Lepisosteus oculatus: one gene and its partner. The protein of the gene in region 2 purifies or fractionates together with the protein of the main gene of each other region. This does not show direct contact. Links are inferred from orthologs where the notes say so. Each region holds a gene or a part of one and is shown on either strand. Other genes may lie near its edges.

Region 1 (9,236 bases), on a different chromosome or scaffold from region 2:
AACTTCCCAAATACAAAAGTCTGCAAAACAGTTCTATCTTGTAATCAACAAGACAGCATTTATATCATCACCTATATTTAAGATTCCCTATATATAAAGTGACTTTACAGCTCAAAAGCATGGGTATGGCACCACCAACTAACGTCCCTATAGACAGCTACTGGGTCTGTCTGAATACCTGTCAACAGGATGAGCAATTTCCACCATGCACATTTGCTGAAAAAATTCATGTCCTCGGGGGAAACTAGCACAAATACAATATTGTGCTTTCTCAATCTGCTCCCCACACCCATTCTCTGGTATTTCTCCAGGTGAAGCTATACCCTACAGATATTTTCTCCCTTGCTTGCCAAGTACAGCTTCCACTGAATGCTAAGGGTGAGGCTGTCTTAAAAAAAATCTCTTTAATCTCTTCTTTTGAAGAAGAGACATAAAAAGATCAAGAATTGTGCTGTTAATATGTTTTGGAGATTTGATTAGAGTCGCACCATAAATGTGAAAAAAGTTTGCGAAACTGTCTTAATCATCTAATTCAGGTTCTCTGTCATGTTAGACTAGAATTGTGCTGTATCCAACATGGATGAATGAACAGCACAAGAAGATCGTAGTTTCTTAGAGTGCAGTGTATTATAATCTGTTCACGAAGTGCACTGAAGAATGCTCAGATAAATGACTTTCCACTTACAAGACAGCTGCATCCATGCTAGCTGTTTAATATATAAAGGTATATAGTAATTTTAGACGTGCACATGAAGATCATTTATTTCCACCAAATTAGATTCTCGAGTTTATCCCCTGAATAGCATGAGCAATGATGTGTCGGTCTTTTTGCACCCAATTACACCTTCTATTTCTGAGTGCATTTTCATTATCGTGAACAGCAACCTAATTTGCACATTCGCTCAGGGGAATGAACACAAATGGAGCTAGTGAAAAGAAAAGAAAAAAAATCCAAACTAACACTCTAAATGGAACATGTTAAAGCTTTCCCTAATTAGACTTTGCTGTCATTTTAATAGTTGAAGCCTTAAAACTGTACGTAGTTTACAGCATGGCTGAAATCAGTGCAATCACAGTCCACACTCAAGTTTAATATCAAACATGACATAGATGTTATACATCAAAACAAAGCAGAAAAGGCAAAGATTCATGAAAAGTGGTGCAATTAGCAGCAAGAGCAATGTCAAATTGTTATGGGTGAAAATAAGTTCATTAAGAACGGGGTACATCATTAAGAACAGAGAAATGCAGATCCTACCTCTAGTGCCAGGGCAGTCTTGTCATAAGCACAAGGCACACGTTTCTGGATGGCTTTAGCCATTACAGGTCCATTCTGTGTGGAGGGCAAGGGGTTGATGACTGCGCCTGGGGTGGTAGGGGGGAGAGGGGAGGGTGTCTGAGGCTGGGCGTAGGCGTGGGCAGGCTCAGGGATGCCATAGCTGTTTGAATTCCTGTTGCCATGGAACTGGTGCTGATGTGGCGATGGTCTAACCAGCTTCTCTACGTAAGGCACAGGGATCATGCCCACTCGTCCCTCCTTGTTCCTGGCGCTCCACCACTGCTCCTCGGGTTTCTCCAAGATAACCAAGATCTCCCCCTTCTTGAAGGGCAAGTCCTCGGCATCGCTCCCGGTGAAGTCATACAGAGTCCGAACATACTCCAGATTCTCCTCGGGCTGTCCCACGGGCGCGGGACTGGTCCCAACAGACGGATTTGGGTATCTGAAAAGAGCAACGCACACATGACCCACTTCAACCCAAAAACAACCGTCGGGAACACAAAGCAACTCAATTAACAGTTTCGTCTCTTCAATGGTACCATCGGAACAAAGATTTTACAAAATGGTAGAAAACTGCTCTAGAAATAATTCCTGCGGCTTTGTTTAATACAAACCAAGGGGATTAAAAACCCCAGGGCATTCCTTGAAGAGCAGGGGTGTTAACCCTGGTGTTCTGGCACAATTTCCACCTGGTCTTGACCAATCATTTATTATTTCTTAAAACAGATCTATGCTTGTTTAATTGCTAAAGTGCATAAAAGCTAAGAAAACAAAGTTAAAAGTCTCAAAATAAAGCCCCAAAGTGCTCATTTTCAAATTGAGCAGACAATTTGAAAATGAAACCCCAACTGGTCATGTCACCTAAGGACTCTTCATAATGTTCTGCACTGCCTCTAACAGGTTATTTGAAATAAGACTGACTTCGAACTACAGAGTAACAGGTAAGAGAAACAAGAGGAGCCCACAAAGTAATATATCTCATGGGGTTTCTGTCTGCAACATGTAATACTAGTTGCTGTCACAACACCAGCTTCGCCGATTTCCTGGTATCCTTTCCTTATTTACAGATATACAAGCTAAAAGTTCCCCCAATGTTTCCGACAAAACCTAAACCCCCTCAAGCAAACCAAGCACTTCTCACTAAATTTGAGAGCTCGCGTTCAACCCAATATCACACTATTCTAGTGAGCGAACAGTAGTTTTATTCTTGGTCCATCTTCAGCATATCCCCCAAACAATGCAATCTTATTTCTTTTATTTCTGGCGGGGGGGGGGGGGGGGGGTAGAAGATCAAAGACCACATTAACGAGCCCGTCCAGCAAGCGAGCCTGAAAGGGCGATAGTTCCTTCTCGCCTCTCGATTCAAAATAAAACGGAAGTTGAGCACCCGAGAGCAAGTAAGGGGAAGAACTGACCAGAAAGGCTTCCAGGCAAAGCACTAGGTTTACACACAGACACACACAAAAACCAACACTAAACCCCCTCAACAGATAATAAAAAGAAAAACAGGAAATCGAAGTTCACAGCCCGCACACAAATGCGTTCACCCTCCTCCTCCTCCTCCTCGCTGCAGCCGCAGACCCCAACCCGATGGCACCCACCTCGGAGCCGGCTCGATCAGCGTCGTGGTGTCCAGGTAATGGATTTTGTAAAACTCCAGCAGGGCCGGCAGGTGCTCGAACTCCTGGTCGCCGATCTTGAACTTCTTGTTGGGCAGCGAGTTGATGATGTAGTGGGACACCTTGGAGTTCTCGGACACCGACAGCACGTAGTCCCCCGGGCACGTCGAGGAGTCCCGCACCAGGAACATGCCGTGCCTCTGCCCCTGCAGTCTGTTCTGCGCCTCCTGCCGCGACACCGGCCCGAAATACCAACTGGACCGGTCCGAGGGGTCGAACCGCGCGTTGGACATGGCGGGGCGGACTCGAGACGGGATCCAAATGATTAAGAACAAAAAAAATCAATAAAAAACGTCCGGTTTTTTTTTTTTGGGGGGGTGGGTTGGAAACGCCTAGTTTCGTTGAGAGCTCAAGGGCGAGTTTTCACCCACCCCGATCGCGGCACGAAGTTTTAAAACGATGGCAGCCCCGACCGGCAACGCCGATTTCCTCCCTGACGTTTCACAAGAGAGCTCTAGCTACGAGGCCGACTTGGACACATTATAATGCCGCCTTTTTCCACCGCCCGCTATGTCAACGACCTAGAAAAGGGCCCAAGCAGCAGGAAGGAGCGCCCGCTTTCTGGCAGCTCTTTAAGAAGCGCTCAACCATCTGCCGAAACAATGTTCTTCAGCCGCCGCTGCCAGTCCGTTGAACTAACGGGAAATATTATTGTACCGAACTGTCCCCCATCTTGCTCAACGGCGTTACGACTACGGCCCCGGCTCAACCCCGCAGATTTGCCGGCAATAATCAGCTCCCGAGACGGAGGGAGGGTGGGGGAACAACAAGGCTGGGGGGTCTCTCTCTGTCTCTCTCTCTCTCGACTCCGGTACAGAGTTTCCAAAAGCAGGCTGACGAAAATGGCGGCCTTCGCGCACGTCTCCCGAAAAGCAAAATGAATTGTGCTGCAGAACAGCCCGTCTCCAGCCTCTCGGGTGTCACCAATCCCCCCCCCCACTCGGCAGCGGATCTCGACGCTTTCGGATTTTTTTTTAAAACAAAAAAAAAACCCCACACAAAACGGACGAACGCGGGTAGGCCCTTACTCAGGTACGTTTTCGCGGCTCCCCCACTTCACCCTGTTGATACAGGAATCCGCCTGCCTGCCTCACACAGCCCGACTCAGAAATGGCGGCGGGGAGGGCGGGTCCGCGCGCTCCCAGCTCTACCCCGCGCGCAGGTGACGCGGCTTCTGCCTCCTCGCGCACCAAAGAGGAAGCGGAGAGAGGGGGGGCAGGCTCGAGCGCCCGTGCGGAGCCGTCGTGATCGGTCGCGGGTTGTTGTTTTTTTTTTCCCGTGTTTGTTTGTTGTTGTTGCTGCTTTTTAGGTCTACAGCGGGGTCCTTTCAAAAGCAGACATTATAAAAAGGCACCATCCTCGCCGGAAAAAAATAAATAAAAACAACCCCCCCAAAAAAATCGTCTCGCAGTTTGTAGACCAAAGTCAGCCAAGCCAAACCACTTAAATCGGGCCACGACGTGTCTTGTAAGGGGGCACCTACGTTTAATCAGAACATTAAAAGGCGCAATGTCGGTATCTTGAGACGTAAACGCACATCGTCTCGCTTAGATTTGACAGAATTTATGAAATGCGCAGGCAACGGTTCTGTACGACGCTGCACCGCTGGCCTGTAGTAGGTTTCTCACCCCTCCGGGGAACTGCTCGACCCCCTGGCGCTCATCTGCGGGCATTGTGCAATCGCACCATTGAGCATGCACGTTGGTGATAACCATCTCTTAAAAATTGTTCAAATAAGTGCTAACGCCAAAGACAGCTTTATGGCGGCAGTTTATACAGTACATCAGTACATTTACAGCGACAGCATGAAAAAAAACGTCCACTTTAATGCCTTTACCGTTCATATTTTGGGGGTTGTGAAAATACAAGCAGAAATGACCAGCACACTACACACATGCAAATGCAAATAATTATTTTTTTCCTTTAGCATATACATATAGGGACAGACTTTGAGGTTTCCACTCCCTGTTTAAACCTGCCAGCCAGACCGCAGAAATCTGCCACATCCTAAAGGTATTTTTAAAAGCAAAACATCCACTACCAACATCTCACACAGTTTGGAGCTCTATAAACATTAGATTTGAATCGTGTAAGACATTTCATTTCTTGTGAAGAACTCTGTGAAGATGGCTTTTGTGGAGATTTTGTTCCCTGCCTTGGAGACATTGGCAGGACGGTTATCCAGAGCACAGGTCTCCACAGTTGCAGTGTAATTGTGTTCAGAAATGAGTGCCTCGGCATTGGGATGCAGGAGACATACCGAAACCCCTCCTAAGTGCGTCGCTGATGAAGGGGATTGACAGAGAATGTCAGTTGTTTGTTGAGAGAGCTCCAGCATAACACTGTGGCCTAAAGCCAGAGATCCCCATTTCCTCATCTGTGCTGGGAATTCAAAGAAGGGGTTGGAAGAATTCACTTTTCCTACGAGGCTGGAAAAACAGGCTTTGAGTGTCCGGGTTGCATAAAAAGCCACTGGAACGCGGCCTAGCTTTTCACAGAGACCCAGTCTGGACGAATATAAATGGTTTTGCACCCACTGGTTCGTATTGGCGGACGCGTGCCAATTTCTCACATAACTCCCTGAGAGAGAGGACGAGTGCAAATTATCGATGTGCAAAAATGGAAATTTAATATTACTTACAATTTTGGAAGAGTGTACTTTAGCAATAATATGCCACGCATTGCATGCGTAACATATAAAGATGCTTTTTGCATTAATACACAAATTAGCTTACATTTCAATCTTTCTAAAAGCATAATGTTTGAGTAAGAAAGATATATTTTTAATTTAGATGAACATCGATTATAAAAGAGGATGTTGCAACATGACAAGCTATAAACAGAAGGGCTGTGTTTGCTCTAAAATGACAACGTGGATTGATTCTGTATGTATTTTAATCTTTTAATGCTCCAGGGTGAAAAGAATAAGCCTGCCTCTTTATATAATAAAAGAGGGTGAATTTATACAGTACTAATCTTCTCACATTAGTGTCTTCAGATCATCACTTTTTGTCAAGCCAGAGTATTGATCTGCTTCAGACTTTAATATGGTTTTTAGATATTAAAGTACCTACTTATATTAACTCAGATTTTCTTTCCAAAATGTACAGTATTTGAAATACATGCTTTCATTCACTATAGTGGAAATGCACTGAACTACACAACTGATTTTAATCACATAAGTTAATTTTATTTAAAAACATTTATAAAACATCTTGAAAACTGAAATATATGTTTGTATTTGCAGTAAAAATATTAAATGTAAAATGACATGATAAAACATCAGAGTACACAAAACACTTTTATAAGAATCACACAAAATAATGAAGCTGCAGAAATACTGTGAAGTTTTACATTTTTAAAATATGTAGCTTTAAAGACCTGTAAAGAAGCTATATCCCTATACAAACAGAAACCCATCACCAGTGCTCCTTCTATCATTAAGAGAGGTTTTTGTGGCTACACTCTTATTTTAAACCAAGTTTATCCAACACCCCTGTAAAGATAAGTAACACTTTATTGAACAATTGCAAATTCACGTGTGATTCATTACACAGTTGTAATCTGAAATAAACACCTTTAAAATTCTGTAACAATATATTATTTTTAAATTCCCGTGGAATTATAATGTGTCAATGTCAATAATGGGAATACAATAGAGTGTATCTGCTGTTTCAAGAATCATTTGCAAGCACTGAAATAAAAAAAAAGTTTTTTTTATACTTTTAATAGAATATTGAGGATGGGGACAGTTTTTCCACTTAAATCCTTTTCACAAAACTGAAATGAGACTTTTTCATGATGCAGGTCTTGGCCGTGTTGATCCTTGTGACATGAGTACCTGTAGGACTCTTTTTTAGTTTGACTTGTAGATTCTTAATTAAACCCTTAATAGTTTTCTACCCCTAACAATTAGCAGTTTGCAAGTTAGGTATGAGGAGTTATATATAGTATATATTACACTAGTTTTGAGTTTCACCTGATCATGGGGCAGAATTTGTAAAAAAAAAAGTAGGCCGTAACCTAGATTGTTTCCCTGTGGAAATCTGTGCTAATGCCATCCATGATAAGTGGGTGAGAGGCTCTGGAGATAAAAATTAAAAAATGTAGCACGCACATATAAACATAATACTTCTTCCTTCTTCCCGCTGAGCACGACAGAACTCCCTCATGCCTACATTTTTTTCTGTATTTCAATAGCAAAGGAGAAGTTCAAGGTGAAGTGTCTCAGGGATAAAATTGGGAAACACTTAGATAATTAAAGACAAAATGACTGATAAATTAATATTTCACTCAGGTTTCACCAAGGAAGAAATAGACAACATACCTCAGGATGAGAAGAGACAAAACCGCATACTAAACAGCATTAGCATAGAAATGCAGGCATGTTACAGCTACTAGAAACAATTAAGATACATCTTCAGTGTTCTACTACTCCTACTTAAGGAAACAAGAGATGCTATTCATAGTCCATTAACAAAGCTCTCACTGCAGTCTCTAGAGATGGGATGCAGCACTCATCCATGAAAAAAGTGACAAAATCAAACCAAGGCATCACAGACCAATGAATCTTAAATCCGACTACATGAAAGGTAATGAAAACCATAAGAACTACACCAGAGGGTCATCTGAATGGAAATTTAATTCTACAGTGCAGTCAACATTGATTTGGAAGCAGCAGGTTTTGTATAACTTGTTAGAATCCTTTTTGATAAAAAAATATTCATAATTTATACAGATAGAGCATATGAATGGCAAAGTACTGTCCCACTCTGGCAGGCTAAAAAGTGCTTTTTCGTCTTGACCAAAGAAACATGATTCGAGTTTTGAAAATCTTCAGATGTCATTCTTCCATGGAGTAAACAGTGAAACATTAGCCAGAGGACAAAAGTGGAAACTACAGGAAAGGTTGTTCCAGACTCCCACAAGTGACCCAACCATGTTTTTTTAAGATGATACAAAATAACAGGATTAGATCCCCTCATCACCTAGGGTACAACCACTATATAAGCAGGTATTGTATAAGGATATTAAAATAAGTTTATTTGTCATTTGCACACAACATGGATACACAACAGTTAGTCAAACCTCTCCGACAGCATCATTTGTTCTTATATCACTTAACAATGGGACGCTCCCTTCTGTAGTGGAATGACTACTGCAGCTACACTAAAATCTATAAAGCAGCAATAAGTGTAAAGCAGTCAGGGAATAAAGTGATTCTGGAAGAAAAAAGGTACAGAATGTCTTCTTGACTTGAACCCTAACATTAACAGCCCATAAAGCTTCTTGGTGCAGAGCCCATTGTTGTGACAGTTCTAACCAATTATCACACAAATGCATAATCCTCTTTACAGTTACTATTTGGCTCTGGCATTCAGAATCTGATTTGACCAGTGCAGTTCATTGCCGCTGCCAGAAACTGAGATTGTATCATCGTAAGCATTCTGCTGGGTAGAGGAAACTGGTTACATAATTTTACTGTATGGGAAGATTCTGTTTGGTAACAGGAAGCAGGCAGTTTAAAAATCAATCCCCAGACTTTCCTGGTGAAACAAAATCTATTTTAAGAATTCTCTGATGACGGCTGCATGTTGTTGTCAGCAATCTTGTTTAAACAACTAATGACTCAGACACTTAAGCAATTAACTATTATTTCTGTGAACATTTAACATGCAGCCGCCTTTATCTGCCTCTGTAATACACTATAGGTACACAGCTCATCTAAAGATATGCGTGTAAGAATGAGTCATTAGTCACATACAGTACACACTGGAAATGTCAGATTATCCACAACACAGAAATTTAGTCTACTAGAAAAAACACACAACGTCCATTTTGGTTAAAGCTGTTGTACAGTATTTATTGACCCTCCACAGAAAGATAATGTGCATTTAAAAGGAAACAGCTTTTTTTTTTATTTTAAACCTTCCATGCGTGAAACAGAAATCTGAAGAACCAATGCAAAAAAACTGTTTTTCTACGTAGAAAAATCAGTCACTTAAAAACTGGAAAGAGCAGAACATTATATGAGATCGTCACATAATCCTGGTAGGTTCTGAAATGTCAATGATATGAAATTAAGCCAGAACCTGAGACAAACATGGTTCATCTGATAATTTGTGGTAGACCCATACACGGTCCTCAGAAGACTCAATCAATTCAAATATGGAGTGTAAGTTATTCTAGTAGCGTTTTGTCCCATTCTATGTCAACGCACAAGGCACAAAGAGGTTAGTTTCACTGAAGCGACACCAATGAAAACAGGCAGTCCTCTC
Region 2 (9,428 bases):
AAAATTTGTATGGACAGACATACAGTGATCAGGAGAATATGAATGTGCCTTCCAGAAAAGATCAATAATAAAGCTCACCACATACACTGCTGGAAACACTGAAATCTAAATGAGTAAGGGACTGACTGATCTATCTATAACTCAGGTGCACAGTGTCACCTGCCTAGGAAGCACTGATGCTAAACAAGATCAAAAGAAGAACAAACACTGTATCTGCAGAACAAATATCTACAGTCAGGGAACAAACCATGACAACTCATTATTACGTTCTGATTTTAATATGCCATGCTTTTTGCCAAACATAGTTTACCATTTTAGCAACACTTTGGTTTTCAAACATACAATGCTGACAGGTCACTATAATAATAATTGCTTACACTTATATAGCGCTTTTCCAGACACTCCATTCAAAGAGCTTAACAGGTAATAGGGACTCCCCTCCACCACCACTACTACTACTACACCAGTGTGTGTTCCGTTTATGTATTTCATGATGTACAATTCAACATGAATAAGGAAACCAAACACTGTATCAGGAGAATACCAGGACATTGATGATGACGTTATCCGGTCAGTCGGATCCGACTCTCTGCGATTCTATAGGCCATCTACCGTCCTTCAGATGAGACGTAAAACCAAGGTCCTGACTCTCTGTGGTCATTACAAATCCCAGGGCGAAAAGAGTAGGGGTGTAACCCCGGGGTCTTGACCAAATTCCCCATTGGCCCTTACCAATCATGGCCTCCTAATAATCCTCCTCTATGAATTGGCTTCATCACTCTGCTCTCCTCTCCACTGATAGCTGATGTGTGGTGAGCGTTCTGGCGCACTATGGCTGCCGTCGCATCATCCAGGTGGAGCTGCACATTAGTGGTGGTGGAGGGGAGTCCCCATTACCTACTGTATAAAGCGCTTTGAGTGGAGTGTCCAGAAAAGTGCTATAGAAGTGTAAGCAATTATTATTATTATTATCTCTCACCACGCTTTCCGGTCTTGGACCAGGACATTACCCATACACAATATAATAAGCAGTTTTTCTTTAATCATAATTCTACAAACTGCAAATTCAATTACGCTAATTCCTGTAGGAAAAAACAAACACCTAAATAACACCACCTAATACTAGAGACATCCACATTATGAAATACTTGAGTTCATCATTCACAAATAATGTAACGTTTATATCAGGACTAAAGTTCCCTCACTACTTCAAGCAGAGAGTGATGCGGCACCATAAATAACCCATATGAAAAAAATAAACTCATATAGAACCCAATGTGCGGTTTAAGCAGTCCAAACCAGACATTGGAAAAAGTCATCAGCCACAGAAACACTGGCATAAAAGCCTGTTCTGTTGACTGCGGCTTAGCTGAATACACAATATTCTGAAAGTTTACGGACGTTATCAGCCACCGTTTTTATAAGTACAATTCCCACCAATCATGCAGGGATGTCTCTTCGTTTTACAAGTCGGAAAGTCCTGAATTACTTTGGAAACGGCACCCTTGCATCTCAAAGCGATGTCAATCTCTGATGTCTGCGTGGACGACTCCAAATACAAACTCACTCCACGCCGTGTATCGTTGCAGATGACTCCAGTTCATGGCGGAGAGCACGAATACACTTTCTGTATACGATTTACATTATTGTACCTTAAAACTATGGTGGTAGCTGTTGCACACACCACAAAAGAGTCGCATCAAAAGCAAGAGGTTTCATCACATCACAAGGAATGCTCTCTTCTTAACATTCCGGTATAAAACCTTGGGCACTTGTGTAAGCAACACGCAGTGCATGTGATGCAGGACAGCTCACCGGACCGCAGACGGCTCCAAACCTTGCGCCACGCTTTAGATGCGACACAATACCGACTACTGTTTGTGTTGTCTGTATGCAACAGGATAAAAACAATTTCGTTCTTCACATACCGATGCGTATAGCCTGGAGATAAAGAAATTCAAAACGCCAGTAGTTTGTCTGTAGCTCACGTAAACGTTGTGTTCGCACGCCCCTGTTGTGACAATTGCCCGTACACGGATGTATTGACGTGAAACTACCTCTTTCGCTTCATAGGAACAAGAATGAATGTCTGTACTCTTTTTAAGTCGATGAGAAAAATACCTTATATACGTCCCCATAAGTTCCGCTCCCAACTCGCTGAATGAGCTCGAAATCCTGTTGTGGGTTTCTCCTCAGGATCTCCCCGCTGGGCCGGGAAAAAGCTTCCATGGTAGTTACTTTTCTCCTCTTACATTAAATAAAAATCCGTTAAAAGGGGGGGAAAGGGAACGCGAATGGAATCCTGTTTAATTCAAAACAATATCCAAACTGTGTGCGATTTCCTTCGGGATTTTATTTCTTAAAGAAGGAAAGTTCTTATTTCCAAATATGGCTTCTGGTCCATTTCCTGCTGCGAAGAGAGAAAAGTGAGTGTGAAACACTGGCACACACATCAGGACACTATAAACAGATATAAGCGGGACCCACGGCTAAAATATGTGAGCAAAGCTACTGCGCAACGGAAAAGCTCAAAAGCACAGAATCGCACGTCTACCTCATAGTGCTACTAGCTGCAAGTCTTCTTGTTTTTAGCGTAATTGAGAATGAATACCACGCTACTACAACTCCATTTTAAATTCAGCACTATACACAAACACTGGGCAATTTAGCTGTAGGTTTCTGCTGACATTAAGTAGGTTCTTTGCGATGTTACAACTCCATATTTTTTTTAAAGTAGCGGTATAAACAAACTTGTATACTACACGTACTCTATATATACTATATACAGTATAGCTCTAGCTAAATTACTGTAAAACACACATTAAATGTAGTTACAATTTACATTACCACGAACAGGCTGCATTAAAAAGCAGGTGAACGTGAGCTGGCTTAAATTGCTCGACAGTGTTAATCGTCATATAAGGATATGTATATACTAATGAACAATTTCTCTAGTAGCTAGATGCTTGCACACCGTCCGTGCACGAAGCACACGCATCCCGAAACACAGCTAAACTCTTAAATACCTTGTTTAGGGATGATCGACGCCAAGGGCTTCGGTTCGGACACTTTCTCGAAGTCTTTGAAAACGATCAGACGTCGAATTGAGAAGGGTTTTTTTTTTTGTCCTCAAAAAATGTATATCTCTCCCCTAAGCGAGCAGCTCCACTGGCACCTCTCAGTCCTCCACTCCGCCTCACTTTCGACGTTGACATCCAATGTCACTTCCTCCCGATGACAACACGGCCAGCCTGATGTCTGACCCCTCGGCGGCAGCCACCAAAACAAGCAGGCGGCCGGCAGTCGTTTCGCGCCCCGCGTAATTCGAAAACAACAAGGACAACAACCAAAAAATCGAAATTTGTCTGAAATATTTTCTTCCTCTATTTCCCTATGCTTCCAGCGCCGCCGAAAACTGCTGCTGGAGACCTTCTCATAAAAAAAGTGAAAAGAAACGTGGCAGTGGGGAAAAAAAACAAACAAACAAAAAAAGACAAACCATCTGATAAAAAGGGTGTTTTCTTCGCCGTTCTGGGTCAGAATGGTCTCATAAGTAAAACAATTAAAACAGCAGGCTGCATTCCAGTTGAAGGAGCGTCATTTGATGCTCCAGGCTATGGATTGCGACAGATTATATTGGGAATTGGCACATACCGCCATCTACCGGTGAATATGCTTCAAACCAATCCAGATTTTAAAAATGAGGAGTAGTTAGGTCTACAACTCCATGTATAAAACTTCAGAATTTGCATTTTCCCCTTGAACGTGATATATACACCATGAAGTTTTTATACTTGCAAAGCAACTTAACTTTCTGTAAGACTAATTGCATTTACTTAATTCTCCGTTTCTGTCTTAAGGAAGTAATGGGTAGCGACGTTTATTCGAGAAGATAATACATCTTTCTTAAAGGTTTGGTAGAGTGCATTTTAAACATTTTGAAGTTACAGTCTAAAACGTTTCCAATGTACTTGTTACGTAATTCTCCGTGCATGGAAATTACCTACATTTGAGTGGGGAGCTACGTGTGGGGATACAGGTGTTGTTAATATCATTGTGAGTTACATCAACGCATTATTTCAGAATTACATTAAAGTCACGTTTGCTATACAGTAAAGTAGATATAAAATATGTAAAAAATATTCCTATTGTAAAAAATACCTTAACATTCAAAGGTGGCCTGCTCTTATCGCCGAGTACGTAAATCCTGACGGCTATCATTATGAAAGGCAAACTGCGTTAAAATCAAAGTCTGCCAGGAAAGTTATCCATATTTGTGCGCACATCAGAAATTTAATGAATGCCAGTGAAATTGAATCACTGAAACACTTTTCTTCCTTTAAGCCACATCTTTTACCTTTGTAAAGAAAACGTCTTCACAAACGATTGTTACCTGTATGAGGCTGCAGGTTAATACTACAAAAATAAGAAAAATAATAATACTCGTCCACAAATAACAATTGATAGTTTATATCCAGTATGTGTCTTTATTGTACCTTCCGTCGTGTATTGACTGTAGTTTCAACTGAACTTGATGCAGCTTCGACTTTAAATACCCCAGTGACGGAGTTTGATTTATGTTGTGAGTCACATTTCAAAACAGGCGCAGGTTACACACCTGGACATACGTGTTAGAATACAAGCTTATACATGTTCCAGGCCTTCAGGGTAAAAGTAATTTACCGAATCAAATATGACCGAAATGTCAAGGAAATAAACCTCTGTGATCACCTTCACCGTTGTTTTTAATGCAAAAATTATTCTGTTACAATAGGTAAAGCATCAACCGCTAATATAGTGTTAATGATGTGCTTAAAAGCTTGATAAAAACGCCCAGGGAAAGCGGTAGTTTTCCATCGCAAAGGTAATTAATCTATCCAGCGGGTTTCTCCGATGTTAGCCGAAAGGTTTCGTGTCCGTACGCCTCCCCCTGCCGACACTTCTCTGCTAATGCAGCTGCGAGTTGAAAATGAGGCTCCATCACCCTCCCGCTGCCGAGAGCATCTTCAGAGCAGATCGCGAAGGGAGCCTCCTACGTCTACATGCACACTGACGGATTTTTTTTCCCCCATTCACCACAAATAACACAGGCACACAGAGGGCTGAAAACAGCACCTACAGGACCATGGCCAGGAATCGTAAGGAAAGGAACAGCTGGGGTGAGCTCTTCTTTCTTATTTATCCGTGTTTTTGACAAAACAACACATTTGAAATGCAAGGGGTGGGAACTGGAGCAGTTCTGGTGAGTACCAGTGATGCCCGTGTGTACTGTATGTGTGTTTGCATTATGCACATTAATAATGGAGGAGATGCTTGGTGTCTGCAATTCCAGATTTTCTGCTTTGTGCAGACCCATCACCAGTATTCACCCTGGTACCATGTTCATCTTGCTTGAGATACACTGCTGGCCCTGTTCAGCACTGCATCGTCAGCTCCTGTAATAATAATAAGCCTCGCCTGGAGCCAGAGTAGTGTAGGCCTATCCCCGGCTGCTTTTCTGCTCACAAATGCAGTGCTACAAGGTGCAACAGCCACATAATGCATCTTATACTTTCTATATGGCCAGCAGTGTGAGGCAGAATCCAAAATCCAACCCAGCTTGACTGTGTGCTGCACAGGAAACAAATAGGAGTTTGAGAAAAAGGCTTGGGAGCAGAGTGTTGTTAAGTCACGCCTTGTCTTCTAATAGAATGAATTCACAACCGTATAGTCCAATAATACACCAATAACATCCCACAGAACATTTGTATGCTGTGAGCTTGCTGCAGAGGGTTTACGTATGTCCGTTTCAGAATTAGAAGTATTTATCTTAGTTGAAAATAACATTGGTATTAAAAATCAATGACAAGAGACGTATCAACCAATTTGTTTAATTGTATTAAAATACATACATAAAACATTAAACATTATGCAGCCGTTTTGACATTTGGTGTAGTACTGTGTTTCGGGCCTTAAATTGAGGTATCTAGTATGCTTGACTATTTAAAGATCACCTGTAGACGGAGCTGCTGACAGACACATGATCCATTAGCAGCCTGGTTTCTCTGCACAGATTTGTTAAAAGATTATTGAGAGCAGGCTCTGCATGCATTTTGCTTTCATTTCACTATCTAGTACTTTTTAGTGCAGGGAGGGTAGATATGCATTTTCTGTCTGCCAGCTAAATAATATCAATACCCTCAAAACCCAAATAATGTAATTAAGTGGGTTTGTTTGTTAGGACTACCACAATAAAGAGGCAATAAATAAGACAAGTGGGCTGTAGGGATCATTGTCAATATTTGCAAGACATCTTATCACATCATCTTTGAAACCTGCTCCTACATACATGGCAGATGGAGTTTTCTGTCTACAATTGTTTGATGAAATGACTGCACATCTGATTGGGAAGAACATCTAAAAAATCTAAATAACTAGAAATAAAACATGGTGAAGAGGCTACTGTGCCAGAATCAGATCAGTGTGAGGAAGCTGACAAGTTTCCATAGTTTGATTAGCTCTTGGCTTGGTCAGTTGCCTCTAAACTATTTTAATGTAAAGATGGTACTTTAAAAAATGTGTTTTTCCCCAGAAATACAGTAGTTCAATTCTGTTTTATGTTTTTCTCTTTATTGTAGTTTATGTGCCACAATGACAAAACATCTTGTTAATATAAAGCACCATGTGGCAAAGCATTCTAAATCACAACTTGAGTTAATTTGAAATAGTCTGCTTTTCTGTTTACAAACTTAATTTGCAGATTAAAGTAATCAAGAGCCGTGTCAGCCCATACAAACTTCCACTCCAGTAATAATCTGTGCCCCTGGGTTTTAAACAGATTTAGCATCTGGAGCGTCTGCTTGCTCCATACGCAGTTGTCACTGGGATGTGTCTAGTTCTTTGGTCAGAAGACAGATTGATGGGATAGTTTTCTTTTACCTGACTGGATCAACTGTAGATTGTAGTGTATCCAAAAGCTGAATACGTCAAGCTGGGATTTGATTTCTGTGTTAAGACCACATATAGTCAGTTTGATAGACTAATCAGACAAAGAGAAAGATTCTGGCACATCAATTATTATTCTGTATCTTTAATTCTGCAATCATAGTCCAGTTTGTTATTCATCCTTTCTACTACCTGTCTGGCTTCAAAAGCACATTCCAGATGTTTGGCCCACTATGCTGTTTCTTCTGGGAACAGTTTCAGAGTCATGGGTTGCCTTTAGCTTGCTGTTTGTCTGCATTGTTCTCGTCAGCAGGCCAAAGATTTCTTACATTTTTTCCCATTTTTTTAGTACCACAGCCTTCCCACATCCCAAAAAAGGAATTTTCTACAAAATAATTTTTCTCAAGACACATTCCCTTGCTGTTATGACTCGTTCATCTCTTTGGCCTATTTGCTTGTGCTGTGCAGCCTACGTGTTGGCCAGTAAGTACATGCAGTAAGGCCATTTATACTGAGTCATTGCCTGGAAAGCCTACCTATTGCACCACCCACTTAGCAATCTGAATCAGACGATAAACATTTATCATTAATGGCTTTAACATGCTACTCTGTTGGTGATGGAATCTATTGATTTTTAACTGCTTGTCAATTATACTGCAGTTCATAGGTTCTGCTTCTAACGAGGCACATTTTCCAGAAACCGGGAGTAGCTTTCAATAGGATGGTAGAAAGATTGGGAACACTCTCCTTGGTGGGAAAGTATTTACACTTCTGATAAGGAACTGTGTGGGTCTCACACATCTTCACAAATTATTTTTTTGTTCTTTGAGGAATACATTTCCACCTCTATGCTGCACTGACAATTTACTCCGTTTCCCACACTGTCTCATGAGCTGGGTAAAGCTAATCAGGACCGCTCATTTTTGGAACAAATAAAAAACAAGGAAAATGAGCGGTCCTCATAATCATTCAATAATGAATGTGGCAAGATGTAAACGTTTAATTCCAATGTGTACCTTTTAACGTACTGGATTAGTTTAGATTCAAACTTCATGTCATGTGAGTTGTATACTGTATGTGAACCGAAAAGTTGGAAAGCATAGATATATACTGTATATACAGTACACACCCAGGTGAGACTTAAACACCAATGTCTGCAGTATATTACATAACTTGAAACCATTATTTGTTCAGAGTTACAAAAATAGTTGTGAAAGTAGGGATTCCAGTGAATAAGAACAAGCAATATGTCTCCCCTATCACCGTCTTTGTACCTAGTGTTGCATATTTTTGAATAATGCATATACATAAATACATAGATACATAGGTGTACATGTATGTACCCCTACCAAAACTTTCCATATACTGTAATGTACCTATTAGTGGATTAGTCCACTTCCAGCAGCGATTAAACAAGTGGACGCATGGTATCGACATTTGTCTATCAAGACATGGGTCTTCTCAAAAGTTGTGAAATCTTCCACCTGTCCCTTTGATTGCGGTATTTACTCTGGCTAGAATTTGCATCTGCAACCACTGCTTGTAAACTCAGAGGCTGCAGAAATGTGACACATTAGGTAGGTCTGATGTTGCCTTTGAGTATACACCACACAACCATGTGCACTAAAAGCATACCATTCGTGAAGTCACATACATCAGCCTTCTACTGTGTAGCACAGCATGAAAGAAGAAAAAGGGCTAGTTTGCTACTGCTTTGTAGTACTTTGGAATCATCGGTCATTACATATGCTGGGCTATCTAACTACAGTGATTTGGATATTCTTGTTTGGCCAAATCCTATGGAATTTTATATTCTCATATTTTGATAGGGCAGGATATATGTATAAGATCAAGTATGTAGCTGCATCGGGCATGTGTAGGCTGCCAAGGAACCAGTAAAAGTTTATTCCATGCTGAAAAGAAACTAAATGAAACACCACATTTAGGCTGTGTAGCCTTCTTCAGGAGTACGTCTTCAGTTTAAACATCTTTAAACTGGTATACATATGTAGCATTCTATATACAAAGAATGATATATGAATTCAGTGCAAACAGTATTTTTTCCTCTGACAAGCACCATAAGCCCTCAGAATTTGCCATACTGAGCCAATAAAATCTCTATGTCAATATGCAACACAGCCACTAGCGACATACCATGATATAGACCAATTTTAACAACTCCCCTATTATTGTATTGTTGTGACATATCAGTCAGTTCACCATCATAACCTTTGGTGACCTAATGTTTGCTGATCTTACAGTGCTTCATCATTCTTTACACAATAAGATAGGTTAGATCACAATTTGTCAGAAGGGATGTTAGCTAAATCACATCTCATTTGATGGCCTCCTTGATCACCAAACCCAGTTTATTTCTGGCGGCTCCGTTACTGTGGTATTCCTAACGGAAATGTGCCGAAAGCTGTTCTCGTACGTTCGCGCGGCGTGAGTCGGAGCCCACTATTTGTGGGCTAACCCAGCCGCATGCGCTCTTCCTAGCGGGA

The links.
Region 1: the proteins of map4k5 (region 2) and crkl purify together in Homo sapiens (affinity purification with western blotting; 3 studies listed by BioGRID and IntAct, with this or other methods). This does not show direct contact. The link is inferred for Lepisosteus oculatus from reciprocal best matches to the Homo sapiens genes MAP4K5 and CRKL.

What each region holds. Positions count from the first base shown.
Region 1 is NC_090717.1:9,392,173-9,401,408, reverse strand, and holds the start of crkl (crk-like protein), read right to left. Parts: upstream 4,117-9,236; 5' UTR 3,192-4,116; coding exon 2,881-3,191; intron 1,722-2,880; coding exon 1,259-1,721; intron 1-1,258. UniProt on the Homo sapiens protein: May mediate the transduction of intracellular signals.
Region 2 is NC_090703.1:13,012,822-13,022,249, forward strand, and holds the start of map4k5 (mitogen-activated protein kinase kinase kinase kinase 5), read right to left. Parts: upstream 3,602-9,428; 5' UTR 3,027-3,601; intron 2,427-3,026; exon of another isoform or gene 2,408-2,426; 5' UTR 2,230-2,407; coding exon 2,122-2,229; intron 1-2,121. Other genes in the region: atl1 (atlastin-1), read left to right, coding at 5,126-5,159, 9,424-9,428. UniProt on the Homo sapiens protein: May play a role in the response to environmental stress. Appears to act upstream of the JUN N-terminal pathway.